Saccharomyces cerevisiae S288C: one gene and its partners. The gene in region 1 interacts genetically with each later gene. Each region holds a gene or a part of one and is shown in the gene's direction. Other genes may lie near its edges.

The links.
Region 2: of SIR1 (region 1) and HHO1, a mutation in one rescues a mutant of the other (synthetic rescue), as found in Saccharomyces cerevisiae (one study listed by BioGRID).
Region 3: of SIR1 (region 1) and SPT21, changing one enhances a phenotype caused by changing the other (phenotypic enhancement), as found in Saccharomyces cerevisiae (one study listed by BioGRID).
Region 4: of SIR1 (region 1) and HEK2, changing one suppresses a phenotype caused by changing the other (phenotypic suppression), as found in Saccharomyces cerevisiae (one study listed by BioGRID).

Annotation. Positions count from the first base shown.
Region 1 is NC_001143.9:638,158-643,445, forward strand, and holds SIR1 (Sir1p), read left to right. Parts: upstream 1-2,382; coding exon 2,383-4,347; downstream 4,348-5,288. Other genes in the region: BAS1 (Bas1p), read left to right, coding at 1-129; SKG1 (Skg1p), read right to left, coding at 744-1,811. UniProt on the Saccharomyces cerevisiae protein: Involved in the establishment, but not the maintenance, of heterochromatic silencing at the cryptic mating-type loci HMR and HML.
Region 2 is NC_001148.4:307,875-311,926, reverse strand, and holds HHO1 (histone H1), read left to right. Parts: upstream 1-2,322; coding exon 2,323-3,099; downstream 3,100-4,052. Other genes in the region: NAN1 (Nan1p), read right to left, coding at 1-1,717; TBF1 (Tbf1p), read left to right, coding at 3,706-4,052.
Region 3 is NC_001145.3:617,946-623,191, forward strand, and holds SPT21 (Spt21p), read left to right. Parts: upstream 1-1,912; coding exon 1,913-4,189; downstream 4,190-5,246. Other genes in the region: MMT1 (Mmt1p), read left to right, coding at 1-153; FPY1 (flavin adenine dinucleotide pyrophosphatase), read left to right, coding at 534-1,358; CTL1 (polynucleotide 5'-phosphatase), read right to left, coding at 4,306-5,246. UniProt on the Saccharomyces cerevisiae protein: Required for normal transcription at a number of loci in yeast.
Region 4 is NC_001134.8:158,217-162,293, forward strand, and holds HEK2 (Hek2p), read left to right. Parts: upstream 1-1,967; coding exon 1,968-3,113; downstream 3,114-4,077. Other genes in the region: STU1 (Stu1p), read right to left, coding at 1-173; RIB1 (GTP cyclohydrolase II), read right to left, coding at 440-1,477; SHE1 (She1p), read left to right, coding at 3,483-4,077. UniProt on the Saccharomyces cerevisiae protein: RNA-binding protein involved in the correct localization of transcripts in the cell. RNA localization is a widespread mechanism for achieving localized protein synthesis.

The DNA of each region.
Region 1 (5,288 bases):
TTTTTTAACGAACTGTTGGATAAAAAGGCAGATACACTGCATAATGAGGCTAAGAAGACGAGCGAGCATGATATGACGTCAGGAGGTTCTACCGATAATGGGTCAGTCCTGCCACTGAATCCTAGTTGAGAAGGCAAGGCCGAAAAAAAACACAAATCTTTCAATTGTTTAACATATTAGTTTTGTAATAAGCATAAGTGTATATTATACATAGCACAAGATGGATAATATTCTCTGAAAAAAACGTGTAGTTTCATGACTCGCATTTTTTTTTTTTTTTCTTTCATGTTGATTAACATACTTGAATTCTGTATTTAAGCTGTATAAAAAGTTGTTCTATTTCATATACGGCGATTTTGCATAATTAAGAACTTTGCCTTGTACACTATTTTACTAGGGTATTCTTCCAAGATTTCTCTTCTTATTTTTTCCCTTTATAAGTCATTGTAGCAACATAATTTCCTGGAAATTTTAAGGGAATATATTTCTTTCCGCCCACAAACACAAAGGGCGTTTAGTAAATTATGCGGCGATGTATAAAAGAGAAAGCAGGCAAAAAGAAAATGAAAAATGAGACTATGAACTTTAAGAATTATGTCTTGACTAATTTTTTAAAACCCATCATCCATGAAGAGTTCTGTTTGTATTGTTTACGTTTGATGTTTGAAGTGAATTTAATAGAATTGTTCCTCTTTTTTTCTTCTTTTTTTAACTATAATATAATGTTTAGTATATCAACAGTACTATTTAGGCCTTAGACTTTCTATGAACTCTCTCTTACTCTGTGAGTAGTTGGTAAATTCGTTTTCGTATTGATCTTCCTCAGCAATTTCCCCGATATTGCCCACATCATAGTTATTCTGTAATTTGTATAAATCCTTATCTTTATCTGTTATTGCAGACCTGCTATCCTTTACCGAGTGGTCAGCATCCATTCCTTCGTTATCTTTATCAAAAGTGTTTGGTAACTGTGATTGAGCCGCACTTTTGGGTGTTGCAAACACATCCTCTAGGGCATCGCGCTTATTTACCGATGTTATAGAGGAATTCCTTGTATGGAAGGACGCGTTTGAAATGTTACCATTTAAAAACGAGGATGAAGCTCTCCTTGGGTAATACGAACCAAAGTCCTGATTCTGCAAATTTCTTATCAGATTTTCATTACTAGATTGGCGAGTATTATGTTTAAGTTCTATCATCGAAGCTTTGTTTTGGTCATTGCTAGTATTAGTATCACTGGAAGGATCTGCGAAAAAGTTTGGTCCTTCATCAGAAATAACAGGGACCATCTGATCATAAACGCTGATCTGTCTCTTTGTTATATGCCGTTGGGAAGATGATAAGGAAACATTGGAGCTGTTATTTATACTTGGTAAATCCACAACGGACTTCTGCCTGGCATTATTGCCGTAGTTATTATTTCGTACTTGAAGTAAATTTATTTTCCTACGGTATGCTGGCACATAGTATTTACTATTCTTTTTCCCTAACGGTTTCTCTTGATCTCGCGATTTTCCATCTTTTTCTTCTGGATGAGCAGATCCTTCCGATGAACCAGAAGTGTGATCAGGATTTTTTAGCTCGGAGCTGGCTAGTGCTGCTTCATCTTTACTGTCTCTTAAGGGTCCAAAATTGTCAAAGGACACGAAACCACTTTCATCATAAATAGCCCTTTCCAATTCTCTATCGTCTTGTTCCTCCCTCTTGTATCTTTTTTGTAGGTTAAACCAGAAACATACTGCTATTATAATACCTACACCGACGGGTATACCCACCGCACAACCCACCGCAACTGATGTGCTGGCAGTCATCTCTTTTACTTCTTACTACGATGAGCTCCCAAAAAAAAAATATATCCCTGATAAATAACACAAAACTAAGAAGCCGGACCTAGGTGAAGAGTAAAATAAGGACTCGAAATTTTGTCTAATACTCAATAACTCAGTACAAAAACTGCCTCACAGTATAAAATATCCAACTTAGAGATATTCGTTTTAATTGTCCCGAGCAGGCAAACGATAACTGATCCTTAGTCACAATAATAAGTCTATGCTTTCTGTTGAAAAAGAACAAATAGCGAGCGAGTCAGCAAGCAGAATCTAAAGAGGCTTGCAACGAATGGTAGGCAAAGAATTTCTAACCCGAAACCTCAAGCGAATGGTGGATTCCTTACTTCCAATCTTCTAAAAGTCTTTAACTCTGATTTCGAGGATCAGTACTTTTTCTATGGTTTATTAATATCGGCCTCGAAAAGTTTGTCGCGAGAATTTGGGCACATGTGACCCGGAATGTATATTGAGTAATATAAGAATGAGAACAATAATGTCAATAATCACACGTCGTTATAAGCAGCTGAAAAATTATAAGATAATATCAAAAAAAATGCTACAGATCAACTCCAGGCTTGCAGTTATTGATGGATGGCTGGTAGACACTGTGAAGCGAAAACCAATAAATTTTCGGAGTCCTGAAGTAAGATTACTGTTACCCAATGACGATGACTACAAAAAGCTATCACAACAAAACTTGGTGGACTGGACGCGATTAAAGAAGGATTCTAATTCGGTGCTCGTTGGAGTGAAATCTATGGAACTATTTAAACACATAAAGCTAGTTTTGCGAGAGTTTTTCTTGTTAGAAGATGGAAGAATAATTCTGAAGAGGATCAGAAGCAAATTACGTTACAAAGTTGTCAAGAAATTAACTTGTAAATGCTGCAGGTTATATTTACCAAAATGGGGCACCGTGTACATACATCCGATGCTAAAAGATAAAGAAAAGCCCTTAGCGGGGGTATGTGAATTTTCATTGGATGTAAACCCTGATCGGGAGTATCCCCTTATTGAGATCAATGTTAGTCATCAATACATTATAATTGAGGGCTTCCTTCTATACTTAAATGAAAGGAGGCTCTATAGGTGGAACGATAACAATTTGAGGAGTCAGGTTGGCTTAACAAAATGGGCCCATTTAAGAAAAACTTACAATCCGGTAAGCCTTGACATACTTTATAGTTTGAATTCAAATTTTTATTTTGTAAAGGATGATCTGCTATTTCAATTATTAGGAAAGAGGGTATTTGTTAAATTTTGTAAAGTAATGGAAAATGGAAAATGCGGTAAGGCTCCACTGTGGTATCGTGTGAAGAGAACGACAACTGCCAAAGCAACACATATTGCATATGCCATATCAAATTCAACAGCCCCAGATTCATTCAAAAGTAAAAATAACGATTATAGGTTTATTGTCAGGGAAAAGCCAATTGTGGAGAATACTATCTCCAACCTGGATTATTCAGACATAAAAAAACAGCAGTTTACTGAAGCAGAGGTTGTAAAAAGAAAGATCTCAGCAGATATTTCTCAAATAGAGAATGTGCATACGCAATTTAATAGTCAAAAGGAAAAAAATAATATCAGGGTGAATAAGGTTTCTAGCGAGGTCCTAGATCAAATTTCGAAATTTCCTGTGTCCAGAGTCACCTTACTGTTGATGTCTGCTGGTCAAGATAAAAATTATATTGAACTTGTTGAAGAATTGGCAAGAAGGTTGGAAAAAATATGCATAGAAAAAACCACACAATCTTTAGAAGAGATAAGGGATACTTTTCAGGCGAATCCTGAGATGCAGGCTAGCTTTGATAAGGAATATTACCAGAGCATTGAAGAATATAAAATTACACTCGAACTTATTAAGGAAGACCTTTTGATTACTCTGATAAAACAAATGGAAAATATGTGGGCAGCTGAAAAAAAGTTTAGTACAGAGGAGGAGTATGTTTCGCCGAGGTTTTTAGTAGCAGATGGATTTCTAATCGACCTAGCAGAGGAAAAACCGATTAACCCAAAGGATCCGCGCTTACTGACACTGCTAAAAGATCATCAGCGTGCCATGATTGACCAAATGAATTTAGTTAAGTGGAATGACTTCAAAAAATATCAAGATCCTATCCCGCTGAAAGCCAAAACCTTATTTAAATTTTGTAAACAAATAAAGAAAAAATTCCTACGAGGTGCGGACTTCAAGTTACATACATTACCTACAGAAGCAAATTTAAAGTATGAGCCGGAGCGGATGACAGTTTTGTGTTCCTGTGTCCCTATTCTTTTGGATGACCAAACTGTCCAATATCTGTATGATGACAGCATTATTCCTGAATTTGAAGCAACATCTTCATATGCAACAAAGCAGTCAAAGTGTGGGCGGAAAATGTCTTTGCAAATGGAGCCTGACCTCCTTTTTCAAGAGGCCATTAGACGGATGCGACATTTAACTGCTTATGACGTTTTGAGAAGAAACTATATTGCGGCATTTGAGGAGCTATATATGGGAAACTGTAACGATTAAATAGTTGGTAAGATTATCAGTTATGGATACCAACATATAAGCGGGTGATGTCTCATTTCAATGAGGTCAGATAACTGGTACAGTTTCGCCTTTAATACACTTGTTTGACAGAAACTTGTTTTTAATTGCTTGATTAGCTAAGTAACTCGAGCCGTACTGTAGTACCGTTAAATATATATTATGTAGGACTTAGTAGAATATACTAATAATAGATACTGCAATTGATGATCCCAATTACTGTTTTATTGACTAACTTTCACTGAAATGTTTTCATTCTCTGATTTTATATTTAGTTGGCGAACTAGCTCATCCTAATTATAATTAAACTTATATATAGCATAAACCGACAATAATGCGTGGGTGGTCCTCCATGCCGAATTTGTGAACTGAATTATTATCTAAGCACTGGATCGATCACCTTAAGATGATATATTATTTATAACTAAAACGCAGCAGCATTACACTCCAGAGTAACTCCTGAATTTCGTCATGGCATGTACTTATACTATATAACCAACAAAGGATGACTGAATAAGAACCAAATACTTTTCAAGAGATAAGATACGCGTTGCCATTGTTCGCAAGGCAGATCAAGAAGCTTCCTAGGCCTGTGAAAAAAGGAGGAAAAAAGAAATGAATTTTCTAGCTGTATTTAGATTGGATTTGAGGTTCACTAGTATAAGCAACAGCTCCAGTTCTTTAGTCAAGTGCCAGCTTCCCTTGAAATATTAACCTCCCTTTTTTCTTCGTAAACCACTATTATGACCATCGGCCTGTTAATAAGGAGAAAAATAGAAAACTGAAGCAATAGCGGTATCATAAAGCTGACCGTGTAAAGTCACCACTAACCTCCCAATAAACTCTTCCAACTCTGTTTTTTTCAAAGCTAGTGGTGCATTTGAACGCTATTTAGGATTCCGATCTCTTCAGAAACATGCTGA
Region 2 (4,052 bases), on another chromosome or scaffold:
AGCCTTGACTATTATTAACTGATCTTGGTGAAGGCAATATCTTGGTAATTGGGACACTTATCCCGTGTGGATTTATTACTTTCGTTTTCAAATTCCAATTTGTCTCATTATCGTTTTTGGTCCAAAATTTCAAGATATGAGTTAAGTCCTTGGAAGATAAGAGGTCATTTGGCGGATACTCAATTTCGTATGTAATCATCCATTGCCCATCTTTGGTGAACTTCAAATCAGTTATTATTGGGTCTTGTAAATTCAGTTCAAATCTAACTTTACCCATAGAATTGTTGACACCTGATGTTAAATACTGATAGTTAACTTGCTCATTTTTATAGAAGTCAAAAATTTGAACAGCAGAAATGTGTGGGAAATACAAGTTCTTGTTAATAGGGTTTATTTCTACATTAGTGGTGAAATCTTGTCTTCTCGATTTAATTAGTTTTCTAGATTGTTTCTTCTTAGAGTGATTGAGAGAGGTAATTGAGTTGGAGTTCTTGGTATTCATGGCCGAGATTGGTTGCTGAATGTGTTTTATGGTGCTATTGAACACCGGTAATGGCCCGTTAATCGACAATTTGGAGGTCAAATCAGAAGCATTCAAAAGTAAAAATTGGTAGTCAGAATTTGAATTGTTTTCAGTCATTTGTAGGATTAAAGAGTAGTAGTTCCCTTGAGGTCCCAATACCTGACAGTCGATTATAATACCGTTCAAACGAGGCAGGAATTGTTGAGAGTTTGTTTCCAATTGCCATAAACTCATAACTTTTTCCCAACCACCAGATAGCAAATAGGATCCATCGTGAGAGAATGAGAGTGACAGCACAGAGTCTATATGCCATTTGAGCAGTCTTATTTGTAGATCGGCCAGGCTTACGATACTTATAACTCCGGAGGCAAATCCAACAGCCAGTTGTTGACCCATATTGTCTATGGCCATGCTAGAAACGTACCTTGTGTTATAGGATAGGGATTGAGTCTGTGAAGAAAGGATGGAACCGAGGGGAAAGCTTAAATTTACAGAATCATCAAAAAGCGAAACAACTGAGATGGATTTGTGTTCGTGATCTTTTGTTGAGACGTCTTTGCACATATGCGCTAGCAGTTTACCATTGGAAGAAATATTTGACAAGATAACGTTGTGCCATTCTGCCTGATGAGCCACTTCAAATTGCTTTTTAGCATCGTCAAAGGTTAATGCATATAACCTGTACGATTGCAAAGAGTTATGTGCCTTTTGACTAGGGTCCTTGAACGTTGTCAAAATTCTATAGTTGCCCTCGCTATGGAAAACATTTGCAAGCTTTTCATCTGCCAAAGAGATTTTGAAATGCTTAGGGGACTCGACCAGCTTCCCCTTATAATTTAAAACAATTACATGACCATTATTGGTGAATACGGTAATCAGATGAGCGTCTTCTTGTTGCGGAACGGTTATATCACCCAGCAGAATCTTTACAATCGATTCATTATTCTCTTCTTCTTGCAGAAATATTCCGGATAACAAGGAGTTATTTGCAAACTTTAGAGTCTTAACACATTGTCTAGTTTCCACAGAATACACCTTGATCTGATTGTTAAAGGGTATAATATAGTTTCGTTGGTCTTGTGATAGGCGGGCGATATTCTTATTGCCGGTTACTGAACTGAGATTATTCAAAGCGGGTTTCCCACCAGATACGACTGACAGTTTATACTGTTCGATACCTAGGGATTGCGTCATTCTGGTGATCAGCTAAAATGGTTCTGGTTTGTACTTGTAGTTCCTGTGACGACAGCCAATATAACTGATATGTAAACTGTGCCAAAAATCATTTGTTCGAAAAATTTCATCTCATCTCATCGCTAGGAAAAAGAAAGGAAAATTTTTTTCTAGTTTCTCCTTCTCACATTTTACATCACTTACCACGTACCCTAAGCAGTAGGCCGCCTTAACCCTGACGTGCTATTTTGTTACCCTACTGATGTGACCGCTAGATTTTGACATGCCAAGCAATACAAATCTCCAAGAAGTTGCTGTTTGCTTTGATGAAATGCTATTCTGTGTCAAAAATGCCCCCTCCTAGGGACTTGCGTCTAGGTAAAAGCTATTCTGCACAATAACAGGTTTGATGGATGATTTTTGTTTGTTCTCTTTGGCTTTTCATTTTCGCGTCGCGTTTTCTGCTGTTGTTTGTTTTTTGTGTGGAAAAGCGGGCGGTCAAAGTTTTTTGTTTATCTGCCTTTATTTAAAGAGGAGGAGCAACTATAGATTTGGGGAGTTGTTATTTATGGGCACCTGATAATGCTTGGCAGCGAGGGAAGCAATTATAATACAACTAAAGCAACATGGCACCCAAGAAATCCACTACCAAGACCACAAGTAAGGGCAAGAAGCCTGCAACCAGCAAAGGCAAGGAGAAATCAACTTCCAAGGCCGCTATCAAGAAAACCACGGCAAAAAAGGAGGAAGCTTCCTCCAAGAGTTACAGGGAGTTGATCATTGAAGGGCTCACGGCTTTGAAGGAACGTAAGGGATCCAGTCGTCCGGCACTCAAGAAGTTTATCAAGGAAAACTACCCGATCGTCGGATCCGCAAGCAACTTTGATTTGTACTTCAACAATGCCATAAAGAAGGGTGTGGAGGCCGGCGATTTTGAACAGCCAAAGGGACCCGCTGGTGCTGTGAAACTGGCCAAGAAGAAATCTCCAGAAGTAAAGAAAGAAAAAGAGGTCAGTCCAAAACCCAAGCAAGCCGCCACTTCTGTGAGTGCAACCGCATCAAAAGCGAAAGCCGCATCCACGAAGCTAGCGCCAAAGAAAGTAGTGAAAAAAAAATCGCCTACTGTTACCGCCAAGAAGGCCTCTTCGCCTTCTTCATTGACCTACAAGGAAATGATCCTTAAAAGCATGCCTCAACTTAATGACGGTAAGGGCTCCAGCCGTATCGTTTTAAAGAAGTATGTCAAGGACACTTTCTCCTCCAAGTTGAAAACAAGCTCAAATTTTGACTATCTGTTCAATAGCGCTATCAAGAAATGTGTTGAAAACGGCGAGTTAGTGCAACCAAAGGGCCCCTCCGGCATTATTAAACTAAACAAGAAGAAGGTCAAACTCTCCACGTAAAAAGTGAATATCCAAACGAGAATGTCAATGGTGATAGCAATACTATCAAACCTATTTTCTTTCTTCATTTTTGTGTCCCATCACTATTAGTATTTTGTATTATTTCTAAATTTTTTTCTCTCTAATTTTCAATCTTATTCAAGTGTTTGTTGGCGGTACTGTAAATTTTCATTTTTTAATCTCTCCCTTCTCTATTTGTTACTTATTCGGTAAATATCTCCTTTATGATTTTATTCAAATTCCATTCTTAACTAACTAACTATACTGTTTATAAATTTCTCTTCTCTTATATATGCAAGGTACAGTGTGTAAAATTAATTATTGTATTTGAAGAAAAGGCTTTAAAATCTGAACATTTGAAGCCCTAATATTCTGCACCGTGCCCTATTAATTTTCGCCCCTTTCCGTAGAAGCCCGGCGAGACCTCATTCCGACTAATTTTCCTCAATGCTTTGCCCTTCCTTGTAAACATTATAATAAACAATCATCTCAATATTGGCGTTTTGCTCCTATATCCTTGCCAACATTTAAGATTGTGGCTGTCCCATCTGCGACAGAAATCATTTTACATTAGTTTTTCTTTACTCACTTCTTTCCCCATTTGTCATGGATTCGCAAGTGCCCAATAATAACGAAAGCTTAAACCGCTTCAATGACATCATCCAAAGCCTGCCTGCAAGAACTAGGTTGACCATATGCTCATTATGTCTGCTGGACAATATCTCCACTCAACTACTGAGGTTTCTTATCCTTAATGCCAACTCTCCCAATATTATAGCGGTTTTGACGGACCAGACGGCTTTCCTAAGCTCAGGCGAAACAGAAATTTTTCAAACGTTAGTCAAGCTCTTTAAGCAGATCAGAATGATTTACCACACCAGATCTCCGTTACTGTCTGTTCACGACGTGGCGCCTGGTTTATGGTTTCCCAACTCCCCTCCCCCCCTTATATT
Region 3 (5,246 bases), on another chromosome or scaffold:
AATGTGTTAACCAATGAAGTATCGAATTTGAGAAGACTGGATATTGAATACGTGGAAGAAAAAAATGGTGAGGAAAATGAGCATATCAAGGGACAACAAAACTACAAAGAAGATGTTCTTATTAAGCACGACCATACGAATACTCATATTTGAGCTTCCCACAGTAATAATAACAAGTGAAGAAGAGAGGGAAATGTCGAAAATACCCGAAACGCATTTCACAATTACAAAAAGGCCAAAAAAAAAAAGGAAAGACAATACGCTTATATTTGTCACGTATACCTACTATTTGATTTATGTACGTTTTATATACAAATTGCATTTACTATTTATAAAATAAATCATTAACTATAATACTCTAACTGAATGTTTTAGGATCTTCTCTATTAAAAATATACGTGGAAAACGACTATGGCTGCCCGAGAGACTAAAAAGGAAAGAGCGAGGGATATAACAATAGCAGTCATTACTGGTGATAATAATGACATAAAAGAATTACTGAAGGAGGCAAAGTATATACTGTCAAGGGTATAATGGTGAAAGTAACTGCAGCTTGTATCATAATTGGTGATGAAGTGCTGAATGGAAAAGTAGTTGATACAAATTCCACTTTTTTTGCGAAGTATTGCTTTGATCATGGAATTCAATTAAAAGAAATTGCAACTATAGGGGATGATGAAACCCAGATCGTAGATACTGTGAGAAGATTAGTCAAAAATTATGATTTTATCATCAGTACAGGTGGAATCGGCCCCACTCATGACGACATCACTTACGAATGTATGGCGAAAAGCTTTAATTTGCCTTGTGAACTAGATGAAGAATGCAAAGAACGAATGAGGCATAAATCTGACCCTGAAGCAAGGCTTGATGCAGATGCTCTAAAGGCGCATTACCAAATGGCAACCATGCCAAAAGGCACAAACGTCAAAAATTATTATGTGTGTGATGACTTGTGGGTACCTATTTGTTCTATATCTCACAAAATGTATATACTACCCGGTATCCCTCAACTATTTGCAAGGATGCTGAAAGCGTTCACTCCCACGTTGAAAAAAATATATAATTTGGACAAGGATCCACGTGAGTATGTTCGTTATTTTGTCAGAACACACCTAACTGAGTCTCAAATTTCTAAAGAGCTAAAGTTGATTCAGGATGAATCAACAAAAGTTTCAGAAGCCATTAAAATAGGCTCATACCCACATTTTGGTATGGGATTCAATACAGTTAGTATTTTGGGTGAAAAGAAAGACGATTCATATCTGAAGAGTATTGTCAATAGAGTTGTTAATAACCTCGAGGGAGAAGTAATTTCTTCTGAACTTGAAAACAAGTTCTCGAACCAGGAGAGCTGAATACCCGAGTATTTAGAACTATGTATAGATATAGATTTTTTTTTTGGGAGCAAAGTCATCTCAGTCATCGCCGGTAGTTGCGCTTTCTTCTCAACAAAAAAGTACACTGCTCGTGGTAGAAAGGTACCTTGAAAAATTAAAGATCACATTGCTACTGTTAGAGCTTCAATCGCTAAAGTAAACATTTGAAAAATGCATATCCGAAAGGACCAAACCAGCAAAAGGTATATAATTCATTCAATAGATACAACTGCTCCATGAAAGGAAAAACCTTCATTTACGGTCGCGTTTTTTTTCGTGATATAAAAAAGGTAAAAAAAACGCGTCGCGTTAGAAAAAAGGTGTGTGTGAAGAGAAAGACCCATTGAATGGAGAGTTCGGTTCTTGGGAATTGCACTGAGCCGTGGTGAGTTTGTTGCTTTACTACATCTCTTCTTTTATAAGCAACGCTTAAGCTGAACCTAGTCAACACACATAACTGAAGTCAATTTGACCAGGTGCAACTGAAACCTGGATTGGAATTGGTATTCACTTGAACAAAAGACTCTGGTAAAATGTCTGAACTCTCTCAAATGACATTGAAGATCCTTTACACATTGGATAATGGATCCAATGGTAGTTATTTAGCCCGCTCAAGGGCTCCAAAACAGGTAAGAGTTGCTAATATTCCTAGTCCATTCCCGACAGATTCGAATGAGCAAACGGAGTTGCGAATTGGCGCCATCCATTTGAAGACTATACTGCATGAAATATACTTAAATTCACCTGAAGTGTTAGACCATGACACTTTAAAAGATGGATATGATTATAACTTGTATTATCGTGACATATGTGAAGTGGATGAGCCATTAGTAAGCCTTGGTCTTCTTTCCGGGCTTCGAAAAAAGTTTCATAAGAATAGCCCCTACCAGTATACAGAAAACAATATTGGTGAAGAAGAAAGTGAAGAGAGAGATGAGGTAACTGAAGAAGAGTATGAAGATGAATCTTTTATAGTTACTGGAAGGGTATGCTCGAATGTTTCCGCTTTACTACGAAGATCATATAGCAACATCTCGAATAAAAAGGGAAGGGTCGTAAACAACCAAATTCCGGAAGAAACTTTGGAGGTTAAACTAAGATTCACAAAAGTTATAACCAATTTAAGGACGTCTGGTAACAATACTACAAATTCTCGGATATCGTGTCTTCAAATGCCGTCTTCTTTACCATCAGCAACACTTCCGTTTACCCCAAAATCGCAATCTCTTTTCAAGACAAACCAAATAAAAAATTCAAGGAATGCAAGGACCACGATAACAATAAATAATACTAATAGCGGGACTGTGGGAAGAAGACAGACGAATCCTATGCCTGCTCCAAAAGCTGTCAGAACTCAGTCTTTACCCATCTGGAATCTTAAACCAAATATAGCGAATACTGGTTTCCCAAGAAATTCAATTGCGCACAAAATCTACTTAGCAGATAGAAAAACAGAAGCCAATCAACAAAACAACCAGCATCAAAACATAGCTTACGAAATAAATACTTTGCAAAACGATAATACTATTCAGAGGACCAAGATCGATGATTCGGTAAGCAAGAGGTTCGATTTTATGCTCAACAAAAGAAAGTCTACGAAAAAAGTGTCACCTGGTATAGCAACGATAGCAAAAAAACCAGCTTCAATAAACATAAATCCAAAGCAACCGCCGAAGACTAGTGGTGAAAAAAAAGCAAATGATAAGCAAACGATTGTCAAAGTTAAGAATTCGAATTCCAAAAATTCGGCTAAGTCTACACAAGCAGGATGTAGGCGATCATCAGTGATAGAACATTTAAATGATCATGACGATTCAATTTTAAGTGACATTCTATCGGAACCAGGCATTGAAGGGCAGAAATTGCAGCAAAAACAAAAGGGGCGTAAGATATCTTTAACTAGTGAAAATGATAAAGAAAATATTCCACCCCAAAGCATAACTAGTAAAGAGAACAAGCTTGAAGGTGACTTGGATTTTAACGCTGAGTTCCCCATGAGTGACTTTTCGGATGTAGTATTTAAAGATGAGATGGGATGGTTTTCCAATTTCAATTGCAATTTTTTTGAATCACCAACTTCTGCAAGTGCATCACAACTCAATCAGCAAAATTTGAAGCCTTCTATAACACTCAACGATCCAAACACCTGTAACACCATTGCTCTCGAAAATGAAGATGTCAGTGAATTGGAAACAGCGCAAAATAATAAAATATCTTTGCCTAGCGATGTTGACAAAACCTCCCCAATAGACTCGTTGTCTATACCTTTAATTGAACTTACACATTCAAGCTCGACAACAAACATGCAGCGTATATCCATTAAAGAAGGATCGACACTAAATATAACAGATAGTAATAATGCCACCCCATGTGATAATGATATAAAAGATAGAAAGGCATCTGTAATAGATTCGGACAATACAAAACCTCAGGCAGGGCTTATAAATTTCTCTACTCCAGCTGACCAGCCAGCTTCTGATAATAATGTTACAGCTTCGAAAAAGCTTACTAGCATGCTGGAAACTCAGCAAAGTAAGAGATCTCATGAAGAAGTTTTGGATGAAGAGGAAGAGGAGGAAGCCCTCAAAAAGCAAAAGGCAATACCGTCTTCACCATGTGGGATGTTCAATTATCATCAACCCATGGAATTATCTGAGGACATAGTTGAAGAAGAGCAAGGACACAATATCGGCGATGATAATGAAAGCGATAAGACCAACGATTTATTCTCAACATTCATCCATTCAGGAATAAGAGTAAGTCAGGTAGTAACAAGTCCCATCGGTGAATTTCAGTCAATAAAACACTGAAAATATTACATGAACTTATTCCTAGCACAGCATGTATATATATATATATATATATATACTCAGATCATACATGTAGCACCTTATAGAGAACAAAAAGAAGTATTTAATTAGCATTTTCATGTCGTTAACATGTTATCGCGTTCTGCAGCCTTACGTATAAGGTCGCTGGCATTCAAAAACGAGCACATATACTCATTAAACTTCTCCCTATCATTAGCGGAAATTGTCTCCTTGAATATAGGATCCATTTCTACCTCCACTTCATGGGACGTGTATTGATGGGAGTTCCTTCGCGTGGTAGTAACCTTTGTCAAATCCAAGTGTAAAGGCATTTTATCATTAAAGGTGTAGGTGGAACGGCTTTTGGTTCTTTGTAAAATAAAGCCATTCCTGAAAGCGGCAGAAGTTTCGTATTCAGGCACTTCAAGGCTGATGCTAATTTTAGCGTCTAATGAACTTTGAGGATAGCGAATGAGAAAATCCTTGACCCGGACCTTTTTGATGTAAGTAAGTTTAAGTTCTTTGTTTCTAAGGTCTTCCGAACAACGCCATGAAGTTAATTTGCCAACTTTCGAGGCATTGTTGCAGTTATATATAGAATCTTTCGTATACTTTTGTACCTGTTTTACTACTCTTGGGGCACATTTACTTGGATTCTCCGATTTTGAGCGGAGTAGCTCCTGGAAACTCGAGAACATTTGCTCAGGAACGTTAGACACTAAGCGGCCATTTCTGTTTTGAACAATAAAGGGCTTGTTGTGTGGTGTCATCCTGCGATGTGTCCTTTTGTCTGTTATAACACCAAATTTCATTTCGATTTCAATGTGTGATATCGACGATTTATCAATACAAGCAAGATATTTCCATGCTAACTTACAAACATGTTTATGGAATTCTGTCGCACCTCTTGAATTGTTTCTTGTGGTTTTGTATAAAGCTCTAGTTGATGTTAATGGCTTAGTGGTTTCAGAGATATGCAAGCTTCTGAATTTCGAGGCAACATTAGCGTCAGCTTTCTTTGCGCCAACATTTTCATGAGAATTTCTACTATTGGAAG
Region 4 (4,077 bases), on another chromosome or scaffold:
GACGATTCGTTAACTAGTTCCTTTTTTACATGTCCTTTGAACCGTGTAAGCAGTGCCATTTTTTCCTCGATGGGTACAGACTCGTCCTTGAATACGGTATACAAAGGGAAGGAATCGTCTGGATGTGTATTAGTGTTGCTGTTATTATTGGTCTCATTGTTGAAGGACGACATTATTTCTGAAGAATACAAGGTCTCTCCAAAAACCCTAATAATTACCGCTAAATATGCCTGTCAATCGGATGAAGGGAAGTTTCAACCTCAAATGTAAATAAATAGATGTTTAGCGTTTTAGAATAAATAAGTAAATAATTTGATTTTCTATAAAGATGTTAATGCGCCAATACGCGCCGACGGGGTAACGCATTAAAATAACATGGTATTTTCGTTTCATTACAAAAAAAGCACTATATGTACTAATAATTATGCTACACTTGTGTTTATATTGCCAGCGTCGATGTTGATGACAACGCAGAGTTCATACGGTTTTGGTTTTGGGCTTCACTTGTCTCAGTAGGTTGAGGGTTTGTATGAAGTTTCAGAGGCTCCGTTAGTAAATGACCCATTCTTTCTATCTTGGTCCTGAGATAACCTTCTATCTCCTTGGAGTCTATGCCTTCACTGGAGTTTGTCCAGTGTATGGGTACCATAGGCACTCGTTCAACGCACTTAAGGTAAGGCGCATGATCTACCTGTTTTATCTTTTCCGGGTTATTTGTCAGCAGCCTGACATTACCGATGCCAAGATCCAGCAAAATAGCCTTACCCAGCGAGAAGTCCCTAGCATCCACGGGATGTTTCAGCATTAAGTTGGCCTGCACTGTGTCAGCACCTAAGTCTTGCAGGTTGTAGGCCTTGAGTTTCTCACCTAACCCGATGCCACGACCCTCTTGTCTTAGATACACGATAACACCATGGCCGTTTCCACCTTTGATGTTGCTTGTGGGTTCGTGGTCGCAAGCGATAAGCCTACCGGCCCTATCGAATTGTTCACCACAATCACAACGGGCGCTCCATGCGTTTTCACCGGTGTAACATTCAGAATGGATCCGTACCAGCGTGTCGTTATGGGCGTCCCATGTAGTGGCTTTGGAAGCTAATAACTCACCTGTACTATCATCAAACTCCAGAGCTAATCCGAGTCTATCGTCTTCGTCTGCCACAGTTCTGCCGGGATACAGTTTGCCAATATAAGCGCCCCTGATCATTCTATCTTGTTGCGTCTCGCACTGTCTTCTACGGAATAGCGAGCGCGACCGTATGTCTTCACCAAACACAATGGCTAGATGTTCCTTGTTGTCCCTGTTGTTACTGTAAAGATGTAAAAAGATATCCGGACCCTGTGTGGTTGGGATACGAGCTCTTGCGACACATTGTACTAGAGGCAAGCCGCCATCGCCGTTCCTGCCATCACCCGTACCACTAACCTCGTATTTGCTGCTATCCTGTTTACTGTTGTCGTAGTTATCTATGGTCATCCTGTAGGTTTGTTGTAGTTTTATGTACGCCACTTTTTGTAATGACTCAATTATTGTCCACGCCAGCACAGCAACTTCTTTATATATACTATAGCGGCGCTGGCGCTCACCCCACAAGAGCGTCCGACTAATTTCTGACAAATCGTAAAAAGAAAAAGAAAAACTCAAAGGAAAAAGAAAAAGTCTCACCCTACACAACTTGTTTTCAAAAACGGTATAGACCCTACTATTTCTGTTTTAGCCCTATGCTAAGTCTAGACATTACCCTATCCCTTTTAACGAAAGCCCTTTTGTTTTTTTTCTGTGTGTCCGGCCGCTCAGCCAAACAACAAACAAGACTATAATCTGGAGCATAAGTACCCGAGCATATATAACTACTTGGCATACGAAGTAAAAGCATATTGCTCCCCACTCCTATCGCGCGTCCCCTGTACAACAAAGCATCAACTTATCGGGTAACTTAGAGACAGCATTAGTATATATACCAGCCATGTCACAGTTCTTCGAAGCTGCTACTCCCGTTGCAATTCCCACAAACAATACCAACGGCGGCTCCAGTGATGCCGGCAGCGCCGCCACTGGCGGCGCCCCCGTTGTTGGCACCACCGCTCAACCCACCATCAATCACAGGCTTTTGCTGTCATTGAAAGAGGCTGCCAAGATCATTGGCACTAAGGGCTCCACCATCTCACGCATAAGAGCTGCAAACGCCGTCAAGATCGGTATTTCTGAAAAGGTGCCCGGTTGCTCTGACAGGATCCTGTCCTGTGCTGGGAACGTAATCAATGTGGCCAATGCCATTGGTGATATTGTTGACGTGCTTAACAAACGGAATCCCGAAAATGAGGACGCAGCTGAGGGCGAAGCGGAAGAGCACTACTACTTCCACTTTTTGAACCATATTTTACCAGCTCCCTCAAAGGACGAGATCAGAGATCTGCAGCAACTGGAGGACATCGGTTATGTGAGGCTCATTGTGGCCAATTCCCATATCTCATCGATTATCGGGAAAGCAGGCGCCACCATCAAGTCCCTGATCAATAAGCACGGCGTTAAGATCGTGGCTTCCAAGGACTTCTTACCTGCTAGCGACGAGAGAATTATCGAGATCCAGGGTTTCCCAGGATCCATCACCAATGTACTTATCGAAATTAGCGAGATCATCTTGAGTGACGTTGACGTCAGATTCAGCACAGAAAGATCTTATTTCCCTCATCTGAAAAAGTCCTCCGGTGAGCCAACTTCCCCTTCTACCTCATCTAACACTAGGATCGAATTGAAGATTCCAGAACTGTATGTAGGCGCCATTATTGGCCGTGGAATGAACAGAATTAAGAATTTGAAAACTTTCACAAAAACCAATATTGTCGTGGAAAGGAAGGATGACGATGATAAAGACGAAAATTTTAGAAAATTCATAATCACAAGTAAATTTCCTAAGAATGTCAAACTTGCTGAGTCCATGCTTTTGAAGAACCTGAATACTGAAATTGAGAAACGTGAAAACTACAAGAGAAAATTGGAAGCTGCCGAAGGAGATGCCACTGTTGTTACTGAACGCTCTGATTCTGCTTCTTTCTTGGAAGAGAAGGAAGAACCTCAAGAGAATCATGATAACAAAGAGGAGCAGTCGTAGTATATACGTGTGCGTGCGCACGTCCCACACAGACAAAACAAACTATCATCTTAACGAATAATGTTGCATCATTACTAGTTTAAACTGTATTTTTATTAAAGGGAAAAAAATGATTCAATATGTATATATTTATTCATGTATATGTATTTTGAATTAAAAAAAAACGTTTTATAAATACTCAATAAAGCCGTTGTATTTTCTTTATTACTATCGAAATTCTTGCTTTAAACATTTCGCGCATCGCCGGCTAGAGGCACAGAGAGGGAAGGGGAAAATAACATGAAAAAATCGTAAGTTTCTAGGCAATGGTATAAACAAATAAACAATAAACATGCAATTACAGCTCTAGAACACATATTATCTTCATGGATGAATGATAAACTCCAAGAAGAGCATAACGAAAAAGACACCACTTCACAAATTAATGGTTTCACGCCGCCGCATATGAGTATAGACTTTCATTCAAATAACAATAGCAATATCATCGAGACTATTGGCGTTTCCAAAAGATTAGGAAATTCTGTATTAAGTGAACTGGATTCTAGAGCTAGCTCAAAATTTGAATTTTTAAAAGATCAATCCGAACAACAATACAACGGCGACAAGAACAATGAACCAAAATCGGGCTCGTATAATATTAATGAGTTCTTCCAAGCAAAGCACGACTCTCAATTTGGCCAGATGGAGTCGCTAGACACACATTATACCCTTTTACATACGCCCAAGAGAAAGTCACAACATGCAATCCCACAGGATCGATCGGATTCGATGAAAAGGTCGAGACCGTCCCGCTCAATTCCATACACTACACCAGTGGTAAACGATATCACAAGAAGAATACGAAGATTGAAATTACGGAACTCATTGGTTAATGGTAATGACATAGTGGCTAGAGCGAGATCTATGCAAGCAAATTCTAACATTAATTCAATAAAGAACACACCATTGTCAAAGCCCAAGCCAT